3 linked regions of the Drosophila melanogaster genome follow. The gene in region 3 interacts genetically with the main gene of each other region. Each region holds a gene or a part of one and is shown on either strand. Other genes may lie near its edges.

What was found.
Region 1: of tws (region 3) and Ret, changing one enhances a phenotype caused by changing the other (phenotypic enhancement), as found in Drosophila melanogaster (one study listed by BioGRID).
Region 2: of tws (region 3) and Sod2, changing one suppresses a phenotype caused by changing the other (phenotypic suppression), as found in Drosophila melanogaster (one study listed by BioGRID).

The regions. Positions count from the first base shown.
Region 1 is NT_033779.5:21,197,028-21,200,782, forward strand, and holds the start of Ret (Ret oncogene), read right to left. Parts: upstream 1,736-3,755; 5' UTR 1,626-1,735; intron 1-1,625. Other genes in the region: CG31624 (uncharacterized protein), read right to left, coding at 2,374-2,910.
Region 2 is NT_033778.4:16,772,298-16,776,052, reverse strand, and holds Sod2 (superoxide dismutase 2 (Mn)), read left to right. Parts: upstream 1-2,137; 5' UTR 2,138-2,263; coding exon 2,264-2,298; intron 2,299-2,414; coding exon 2,415-3,033; 3' UTR 3,034-3,268; downstream 3,269-3,755. Other genes in the region: Arp53D (Actin-related protein 53D), read right to left, coding at 503-1,650, 1,704-1,791. UniProt on the Drosophila melanogaster protein: Destroys superoxide anion radicals which are normally produced within the cells and which are toxic to biological systems.
Region 3 is NT_033777.3:10,138,067-10,141,821, reverse strand, and holds the start of tws (twins), read left to right. Parts: upstream 1-2,049; 5' UTR 2,050-2,495; intron 2,496-3,755. Other genes in the region: TAF1B (TATA box-binding protein-associated factor RNA polymerase I subunit B), read left to right, coding at 1-1,052. UniProt on the Drosophila melanogaster protein: Could perform a substrate recognition function or could be responsible for targeting the enzyme complex to the appropriate subcellular compartment.

The sequences.
Region 1 (3,755 bases), on a different chromosome or scaffold from region 3:
TGGAAGCCAACCGGTTGCCAACTGGAGGGGCTCTCAAAGGCTCGGGCCATGGCGTTTCCCCATTAAAGGTTAAGCGCGACCCAGCCGATCCGGGTGGACTTTTAAGGTGCGTCTATAGCCGTCCTGTTGCTCGAAACGCCAAAAATGGCAATTTCCATATAAAACTTATGCGAAGCCGGCAAACTTACAAACATCCGACGACCGCAAGAGTCAAAGTACGACTGTGGAGGTTCTTCAGTGCCAGTGACTGCCCCGACTGTTTTTTAACTGCACTGCGACAAAAAAAGATTCTAAGAATGCGTACTGGGAGCTTAATTTTAATCAAATGTTTGCCTTTTGCATTGCTTTATCATAATGAAGAACATTTTGCATTGCAAAGATTTAATGAATACAGAAATGTAAAAAAAAATTTTTTAATGTGTCGTGTTTAAAAATATTATGGCTTACACAATAAAAAAAAATGTTGCTTCATTTGGTTTCATCGAATTATTGCTACTTTTTCAATCTTTCCCCTAACTTTAAATGGTATTTTATATATGAGTATTGGTATAATGAGCTGTGAATAAAAACCAAATAGAATAATTCGATGATATTATTGACTTAGGCTTGGACCTTTTCCAGTGCCATCGGCTTGTAAGTTATTTTTTCGTTCACAGACATCTACGAATTGAAAAAGAATGCCAGAGTAGCGTCAATAAATTTGGCCTGGAAGCTTAGAGCCTGGCTTGGATTCCATTTCCACGAAAAAAGGTTCTGGAATGACAGCCGCTTTAAAGGTGTGCGTGATGTTCTTTTTGATCCAACACAGTCAGCAATAGCAAGTATTACAAACCCTAATTGATCCCATTGATTGAGTTTTTAGACCTGATCGCTTGTAGACACATTCGTAAAATGCAAATTCACATCGCGACTGACATTTGCATATGCTAACAATTAATTTTCTGTCACCTAGGTAATCAAAATAAAACATTTTCCAATTAATCCCACATTTTATAATTTGTAAGATTAACATTTTTATAAGCTCTGCCTCCACCTGAGCAAACGCAAGCACGAAAGACCTTAACAGGCATTTAAAATGTAGAAGTACAAGATTAGATATCTTTTGTATTAATTAAAATAATTATCAATTAGAATAAACGCTCAGACCACCCACACTTAGTGTTTTACTATCAAAGATGTGTCTTTGCATACATACATATATGTATATATATATATATTTATAGCTAATCTGTTATCCCGCCACTTCAGCTTTAATATATTAAAATATTTTCCTCAATAAACTGCAATTACTTGAAGTTGCAAATTGAGTAAACTAATTCCACTTCAACACGCACGGCTAAATCACAATTATCTGATGCCAATCTACACGATATACTGTATTGAGTTGTCAGTGCCACTAGACGTGAGGATATTGGCTGCATTTGGAAAATCCGAATCTGGAAAATCTGGCCATAGATCGCAAATAAATTTCAAAGTTCGCAACATACGTAAACCACGATCTTGATTTTGATAGACACGATTTATGGAGGCTTGCAGCTGCTGCAGCTTTTTACAGACTCCTTAATTGTTCGACTCAAACGGCAATTATTTATGGGACAGTTTCAACAGTGTAATTAATTAGCCACCTCTCTTTTCCCGTTTTCGGGCAGCTTTTCCGCGGAAATACTTTTTGGTTTGTGGAAAATCGCTTAAAGACCAACCGAACCGCTTTGCACGAGCTCCGTTTGAAAAATGAAACTGAAACCGGCAGCCGGCAACTCCAAAGCCGCAGAGCCCACAAAATCGTAACGAAAACTTGACTAACGAAGCCGCTTCGTGTATTTTACCCGAATGTATGAATTTTCCACGATGACGGCACGTCAGCACACCCTCGCAGAGTTTTCCATTTTCCGCTGCACTGCTGGGATACCCCTCCTCCAAACAACATAATTCCACCGACTAATGGCGTTTATGAGATAATCAGATGTGCATGTTCCAAGGCTGGGTAGCATATTTACCCTTGGAAACATGATCTCATATCAAGCACACTTTCCTCGACAGCTTCTTTTCACTGGGTTTGGGGAAAATATTTACTCAAAATTGGGAAAGGGCTTGCGTTCTAGTTTATCTCGCAGTAATCAGTATGTTGTTGTGGGTGTTGTTGGTCTTAGGCAAATCTTAACGATAAAAGGGTTTACCTGGCCACCCCAATACAGAGACTTTACATATTTATTTTTATTTAGTGTGTGCGTGTGCGAAATGTTAAGTGTGGTCAAATGTGTGGGTCTGATTTCTTTCATGCCTCTAGGCTTCATAAGCATCGGGAACTATTTCAACATTAGTGTAAGAAAGGAACTAAACAATTTGGAGTAAGATCATGGGTCCGGGACGATGTTAGCAATTGCAGGCGGGGCACACGGGCTTGTCCCCGTCGATGGTAAAAGTCTGCGAGGTTATAGGATTCTCGCATTTGTTGCACTGGAAGCAATTGCGATGCCACTTCACGTTCATGGCGAGCACCGCTGAGTCCGTTATAGGCTTCTCGCACTTGGCGCACCTGGCAGCAAAGAGGTTCTCGTAATCCTGTTTGCAATAGGGCTTGCCGTCGCGCTCATAGAACGTTTGACTGGCGAGCGGCTTCTTGCAGGCACCGCCGCAGCAAAAGCAAGCTTCGTGCCACCTCTCCCCCATGGCGCAGATGGTTTTTTCAAGGATCGGCTTCTTGCAGCCGGCACAGGTGTAGGTGTACCGCTCCACGAAGCACTTGTTGCACACTGGTTCTCCGCTCTGAACATTGAAGGTGGCATCCAGGATCTGCTCATCGCAGTGGTGGCACAGGAAGTGCTCCGGGTGCCACGTCTTGCCCAGGGCGGTGATCATACGCTTGGTGATGGCCTCCTGGCACTTGTGACACACAATGCTCTCAGTCATTTTGGCTTCTCGATTGGTAACTGCTAATAAAAAATGATTTTTAATGCGCATTACCAAGGGATTGTTCAATTACTCTTTTTTGATTGAATTGCTCGTATATATCGTAAATTGAGGTTAAAATACAAAATGTACAAAACAGGGCAGCTATCGATTATTTTATTGAAAGAAACAACGGAAGATGGCTATGGAACGATAAACACTGGGCAACGCAAATATTAATGAGACAAATTATAATTCTGTACTTATTTTAAGATTGGGTGTATTTCTTACTGGGTTTGTCGCCTGTTTCACTACTTCCTCTTTTCGCAGTGTGTTTTTCCTAGTTCGTAATTGTACTGTTCTCATATATCAAAACAGTTGTCACAGGGCCACCGTTGTTACTTTACTTTCTATTAGATGTTTCACACAAAATGGGAGCACAACAACAAGCAATAACGGGTATAATAAGGGTATACTAGATTCGTTAAAAAGTATGTAACAGGCAGAAGGAAGCGTTTCCGAACATACAAAGTATATATATTCTTGATCAGGATCAATTGCCGAGTCGATCTAGCCATGCCCGTCTGTTCGTATGAGATTCAGCATACAAATTCTAGAGACAACGATGCAGCGCAAGTTTGTTGGCCCATGCTGCCACGCCCACAAGCCGCAAAAAACGGCCACTCCCACACTTTTAAAAAAGTCTTGATATTTTTTTACATTTCATTTTTTATCAATTTGCAAAAAAACTTTTTGCCACGTCTACTCTAACGCCGTAAAACCGCCCATAACTGCTACGCTAACATTTTAGAAATTTTGAAAATTATTTCTTCATAATTCCATAACTTTTTGCCACGCCCTAAAAC
Region 2 (3,755 bases), on a different chromosome or scaffold from region 3:
ACCGAGATGTTACAATCGAACACATTTGTATTTTCATTTAGCCTAAAACATTCGAAATTAATCAGAATAAGAGTTTAGAAGTTATTTGTTTGGTTCAATGATTGCTATTTTATCTTGTTGCTAATTTACCACCAGGTTCGTTTGACTGGGAGTTTTTTTTTAAGGATTTTTGTTTTTAGCTGGGGGATGTTGTATCTGCGGGTTAATTTAACTTGGGGTTATTTGATCTAGGGATTAATTTACCTAAGAATTTTTTATATGGGAGTTAGTTTACCTGGGGGCTAGTTAATCTGGCGGTTAGTTTAGATAGTGTTGCATTTGTGCTGTTAGAAGGGCGTTACATGGGCCTTGTGCTTCCCAAATGCAACTAATTTTTGTGTAGGTAACCCCCAGTTTTGTTTATTTTATATCGACTAGATTTGTTTAAGAAATTACATTCATTAGCAAATAGAAAATATATAATAATCATTGCTCATAACGAATATTTGAACACCCTCCTTAACTAAAAACACTTTCGATGGACTATGGCGGAACCAACTTCTTCGTACTCCAAGCTGTCGATCCACATGTTTTGGAAGCTCGTGAGTGAGGCCAAGACGGAACCACCCGTCCAAACGGAGAATCTGCGGTCTGGACTAGCGTTAACCTTGATTCGGATGGATGGTGGAGCCATTTCGGTTAGGTCTTGCAGGAATCTATGCTCGATGTTACGAAACATGGTCGTACCGCCAGAGAGAACAATGTTCGCATACATATCCTTTCGCAGATCCATGTCGCAGTTGGTTATCGAGTGATGGGTGGCCTCGTGGATGCCCATCACCTCCTGACCCAGCAAACTGGGTTGGAAGAGAGCCTCCGGGCAGCGGAATCTCTCGCAGCCCAAAACGATTTTCTGCCCATCTGGCAGCTCATAGGTTTCCACCTTTCCGTGGAGATCCATTTCCTTGGCATAGTTCATTGACACATAGCAGAGTTTCTCCTTGATTTCACGCACGATTTCCCGTTCAGCAGAGGTGCCCATTGTAACGCCCCTCTCCAGAAGCAGCTTGCATAGATAATCGGTGAGGTCCCTGCCGGCCAGATCAACTCGTACACAGGCGTGGGGCAGGGCAAATCCTTCGTAGATCGGTACCGTGTGCGTCACACCATCACCCGAGTCCACCACAATGCCCACAGTACGCCCGGTGGCGTAAAGTGAGAGCACAGCCTGAACTGCTACATAAAAAGCTGGCACCTGAAAGTGTTCGAACATAATCTCTGTCATCTTCTCTCTATTCTTCTTCGGATTCAGTGGGGCTTCGGTGAGTAGAGCCGGCAAATCCATTGGATCCGCCCGCAAGAGCTCGTACGTGTGCTGCCAAACCATCTCCATTTCATCCCAGTTCTTGACCATTCCGTGCTCGATGGGATACTTTAGGGTTAGTATTCCCCTTTTTCGGGCTGCCGCCTCGCCAATAACACTATCACCGATCACGGAATCCAGCAGGACGTTCAGGTGACGAGGTCTGCCCACAATCGACGGGAAGACAGCACGGGGAGTATCTTCTGGGGAGAATCCAGCCTTACATACTCCAGAGCCGTTGTCAATAACCACTGCGGCGTGGTGTGAATTACTATCTACCTCGCTGCTCATGTTTCCAGGAGAGGTTGCTGAACGAATCATGGTCAAATCATAAAATCTTTAGCTTATTTAAGCAACTTACGTAAATGTAGATATTTGTGAAGAATGTTCTGTGCCCGTTTATTTGTTATATCGATTTTGATTCGGGAAGGTATTTGAAATGTAGACATGTTGTGTGCTGTGTTCCAGTCGGATTTTTAAACTTATGACGTTAATTTCATGGTTTATTTCCAATTTAGCGCCATGACATACAGAGGCCAAAAATCGATTAATTCAAGTATCAATCGAATGGATGCAGTCGATACGTAAGCAGCTAAAATATGCTAATAGTCACTAAAGTAGTATTTAAACATAAGAAATATTTAAGAAATCCTCAATATGATTTGAATATGTTTCAGTGCAATGTTTCAATTAAAAATAGTTTTTAATTTCTTTTAGTTTTACTATTTAACTTCAATATATATAAGTTGATCTCACATCACTGACTGATTGGGGTCTTTCGATATTTTCTCATCTGCTCATCTCTAGCAGTAAATTGTTCAAATAGAACAAGCGAAATAACGAGAACGTAAGCCTTGTTTTATTTGATATAAAATCTGATATCGGGACTTAGCCTTATTAGCAGTCGAATAAAACGCAGATATGTTCGTGGCCCGTAAAATTTCGCAAACTGCAAGGTAAGTTGCGAAAAAAAGTATGCCCAAATCGATGCCGGCTGATTACATAAATAGCAACAAATGGCGACCCTGATCTTGAGGACATTATAAAACAAGACACACTTAACCCTTTGCAGCCTGGCGGTGCGTGGCAAGCACACCCTACCGAAGCTGCCCTACGACTATGCCGCCCTGGAGCCTATCATCTGCCGGGAGATCATGGAGCTGCATCACCAGAAGCACCACCAGACCTACGTCAACAATCTAAATGCCGCCGAGGAGCAGCTGGAGGAGGCCAAGTCGAAGAGCGACACCACCAAGCTGATTCAGCTGGCTCCTGCCCTGCGTTTCAATGGCGGTGGCCACATCAACCACACCATCTTCTGGCAGAACCTCTCGCCCAACAAGACCCAGCCCAGCGATGATCTGAAGAAGGCCATCGAGTCGCAGTGGAAGAGCCTCGAGGAGTTCAAAAAGGAGCTGACCACGCTGACCGTGGCGGTCCAGGGCTCCGGCTGGGGCTGGCTGGGCTTCAACAAGAAGTCGGGCAAACTGCAACTGGCCGCCCTGCCCAACCAGGATCCCCTGGAGGCCTCCACCGGCCTGATCCCGCTCTTCGGCATCGATGTCTGGGAGCACGCCTACTATCTGCAGTACAAGAACGTGCGTCCCTCCTACGTGGAGGCCATCTGGGACATCGCCAACTGGGATGACATCTCGTGCCGCTTCCAGGAGGCCAAGAAGCTCGGTTGCTAAGCACAGCCGGCGATTGCGTATGTTTAATCTATAAGCATCTGCGGATCGGAGATCCTAAATTGTAGTCTAAGTTGCGGCTAATAAATTGGTACCAGCTAGCAACTAATTTTTATAATTTTTATGAATGGGAATAAAACAATTTAAAACATAATTTCCGAAGATAACGCTTCACAAAGGCGTATTGAAACTATTACTTCATTGAGGAATTAAAAAATATACATATACCTATTCATATTTTTTATTTTTATCAATTTTATTACGCTCCAAAAAAATTAATTTTTATATTAAATTAAAATATCGCAAATACTGTAAATGTTTTACAACACTGCCGCCCATGGTGCCATCTCTAGCAAATCAGCTGTGCGCGAGCCAAACAAAAACAAAACAAAAGTCAGCCTGCCGCGAAATCGGGGGAGGAAAATTGACATTTCCACCGAGTTTTCCCGAACTTGCGTGCGCGCAGCTGCAAACAATTTTCCAGCACGCGTATCCGAATGGTGGAACAAATGGCCAGCCGCTGGCAGAGTCGTTTGTTGCCTGTTCGCGTAATGGCCATCCTCGAAAATCGCCCGGAGTTTTGAAATCGAGAGACCAGTACGAAACAAAGGAAAATCATTTAATTTCCTGAGGGCGGTGACGAATGAAAAACATACAAAATAAACCACTTGAGTGCAATAATAATTTAATAAAGAACTGTGATTGTGAGTGTGTGAGGAGAACTG
Region 3 (3,755 bases):
TGCTGAAGGACCATTTTGGCGAGTCCAGCAAAGAAAGTATGGAGAAGGAACACATTGAATTCCAGCCCAGCTTGACTCCGGCTCACTCCTACTTCAACAGAATCCTACTCCAAGTATCGCGGTCTGATGGTGCAAAAATGAAAATCACAATTCCTGACCACATGAAAGTGGATCACTCGGCCCGCAACCTGGATCCCTTTGTGCTGGAAACGACCGAGCTGTCGCAGTATTTGTCCCAACATGGCCTTAAACTACGAGTAGAGGAGCTTGCCTGCCAGGAGGACATCCAAAACGTGGGCATATTCCGCCCACTAACAATAATCCGAGGTGACGGTCGAGAATACCGCGCCAACACTGAAATTAAAACCGAGACGTGGATAAGCGAGCTAAAGCGTAAGGAGAAACGGCCGGACTTTCGGTTCACACAGCCCACTGGAACCTATGGAGCCCGATATTTGAAACGTATAACAATGCGCGACGCAAGGCGTGTGCAACTTGAGATAAATAATCCGTTTTGGGATGTTACCGAAACGCCCAGCTTTCTTCTCAAACTCAACGATAACGAGATACCACTTGACAGCCTTAGCTCACTGCAAACCTTCGAGGAAGGGACCATGGATCCATTAAACATCCCTCTAGATCTGCCCCGTCGCAATCTGGAAAAAATTTTGAATCCGGAAGGTTCTGATAGAGCATCAGACCAAGTAGCGAGCGATATCAATGATGAGCCGCCAAGCCCTGAGACGCTGTTATTGCAAGTGTCAAATTTTGATTGCTGGCTTCTACACGGCTATATGAAAAGAATTCGGAGGCATGACAAGCATGAACTGCGTCAGTTGTTCCCCTGTTCCTTCCGTTGGCTCTTGGAGACGTGTGCCAGCACAATAGGCATAGTCTGGGAGGAGCTCTACGAGGAACTGCTCATTGTGGAAGTGATGTACCATCACAGCATCAGGGACTGGAGCAATCATAGGAACTATCTGTGTATTCAACACAATACTCAAGAGAAGGACATCCGAACCCTCGCCAGGACGTACAAGGAGTTATGGTAGTATATTAGAAGTATTAAAAGTTTTGAATTAACAAACAACGATGCCATCTGTATAAAATATAATATTCTTCTACGTAGTGCTCTACCTCAAATGATAGATTTTCTTTTTGTGTATATAACCTGTAGAAATCTTTCAACAGTGATTATGATGCAAATAAATCTGTGTGTTAAGCAGTTACCAAAGTACAAACATGACACACCCACTACGTCAATAGCTTAAGTTCAGGAATTTATGATTTACACACTTATCGAAAGTGATCAATTCATTTAACAAAAATATTCGTTGTCTACCCATACGTTTTCCTATGCCCAAATGTTAAATTTGCATCCATTTTAGATTGAAACGATCTATGTATTAAGGGGCAGTGTTATCTCCTTGGCCGCGACTGTGTGAGCAAAGGCACATTAACATCAATATCAATAGGCAAATTAGCGTTTATCAGAACAACAACAATCACATTAGCAGCAACAATGCGTGTCGCGGTTTTGTTTACAAAAATCTTCTTCAAAAGAGAGCGCCAGGCCCCACGGTCATCACCAACTGGAGAGAGCAAAAAAAGAGCGTGAGAGTACTTGGGGAAACAGAGGAGCTCACTTGGCTTGTTTTTGAACAGTTCTACTTATAAAGTAATTATACCAAATAAACAACAAAATAAAATAAATAAACCAAAAAAAATCACTTACATATATAACAATTTAAAGGGTGTTCAATTGTGATAGTTTATATTTGCTTTAAGTTTAACGTTGTCAACGCTCTCATAGGAGCGATTTCCTTTTAATGTCTTACTAGCTTTGTTTCATATAAAGCAGTTATCTCTGATGATCCTACTTCAAAAATCCGGCGAAAGAGGTGATAAGAATTATCTTATGCTTTTTTTCGATATTCTTGTGATCTTACCTATATTTATAGCTATATCTAGCTAGAAAAGAGGCCACCTCCGCTTGGGAGCAGTGAGAGTGGGTAAAGAAATCATAGGCGCGCATTCGCACGGCGCGTTTCAGTGCTAATTTTAACGTCGTCGCTGACTGTTTCGCCTTATTGCCCTGCTGCGGTTTGAGTTTCCCTATTTTCCACTTTTCCACTGGCCGCGAGCACTGAGTTCGAATTCAATTTAAATTAGTTCCCATTGTGCCTTTGTACGCCTCTTTGCCCGTCCAGCGCAGTGTGATAACCAGAAACCAAAGTGCCTGTGCCCAAGAAGTGCAGTGGAATCGGATGTGTGGACAGGAATTTTAACCGTTGCAGCGCGCGACTTGAAGAGAACCGATCTGAAAGTGATGAAAGTGTGGAGGCCACAGAAATAGGAACCAAAAATAAATTCAAAATCAGAGTTTAAAAATAGCCGAGTGCATGGCAAATTATGAGATATCTAAAGACTGTCAATTAAAATAGCACTGTTGTGTCTGTGATTTGTTGGATATCTGTTGTTTTAGAAGTCTGCTGGTGAGTTGGTTTTTCGGTTTTTGAAAATGTTTTCATATTAATATGCGCGCGTGTGGTTACCATTCAAATGCTACGATTATGGAAAGACAGCTGTTTCAATACCGCCGAAAGTATAGTGGTGCTTCCATTTCTCAAGAGTTTAGCTGCCTAGCTGTTACGTCAACCTTTTGCGGGGGGTCGGGGGCTTATGCTTTACCATAGCATTTGATTCTCTAGTTTCTGTAGGCTGAGCCACCCCCCCCCCCTCATCCTCCTCTTCCTCCTCCCACCGCTATAATACCGACCGATCTGGCTGACGTTCTTGGCGGTTTTTGAGGTTAACAACATTTTCAGGCCGCTTTGTTTCGCTGTGAGCCAAACAATAAACAACTATTGACTCGCACTGGCCATGTTTAGCGAGCCGACTTACAAACAATTAATAGCTACTATTTTGTCACTTGCTGACTTTTATGCCAAAATATTTGCCTAAGCTGTTCGCATTAGCAAATCGAACAAATTGCTCAAAGCGAAAAAAAAATAAGAAAACAACCATATAGCACGCGCATTTATCTTGATTTCGATTCCATGTGACTAAATCATTATTTGTGGGCTTACAATTTGTTTTCCCAACTGAAGTTTGCCTTAGCCAATTGGGTCCTGTTTTTGCGGATTCTTTGTTGGTACAGTGGTCTACCCCAGTAGTGGACTAAAGATCAAAAATGTAGTTATTTTTATTAACCTATTCGATTTGATAATCAACACAGCCATACTTTGTTTACTTGTTAATACAAAGGTGGTAACAAAATGAAGTCCATAGGGTCAAGAGCAGGTTTTAATGATAGATAAAACAGCGCCTGGTTCTATAGCAATTTACCTACAACCCCAAGTGTATACTTATTTCATGGAGTAATTTACAGAATATCAACAAGTTTTCATGTGATATTGCACTCAAAATTTCTGGAAATTTCATCAGTGAAGCGTTTGCTTTTGTACAAACTAACGCCCACTGTATATGAGGAATATAATATGAGATTGGTGTTTGTCAAATGCTAATTAGTTTCATTATATCTGCCAGCCACGAGTGCAGTGGGGTGGAGTTCGGGGGCCGTGAAGTGTATTAATTGGATGAGCCGAAACAGTTTGATAAGCACAATATTGCTTGCCACGGATCTGGTCGGACATATGGTAGTAATCACGTCTGTCCGTCGAAATGTTTATCAATACCACCCTCTTACCTCCCCAAAAAGATACAAAAAGTAAGGCACTCTGCTGCCGCCAATG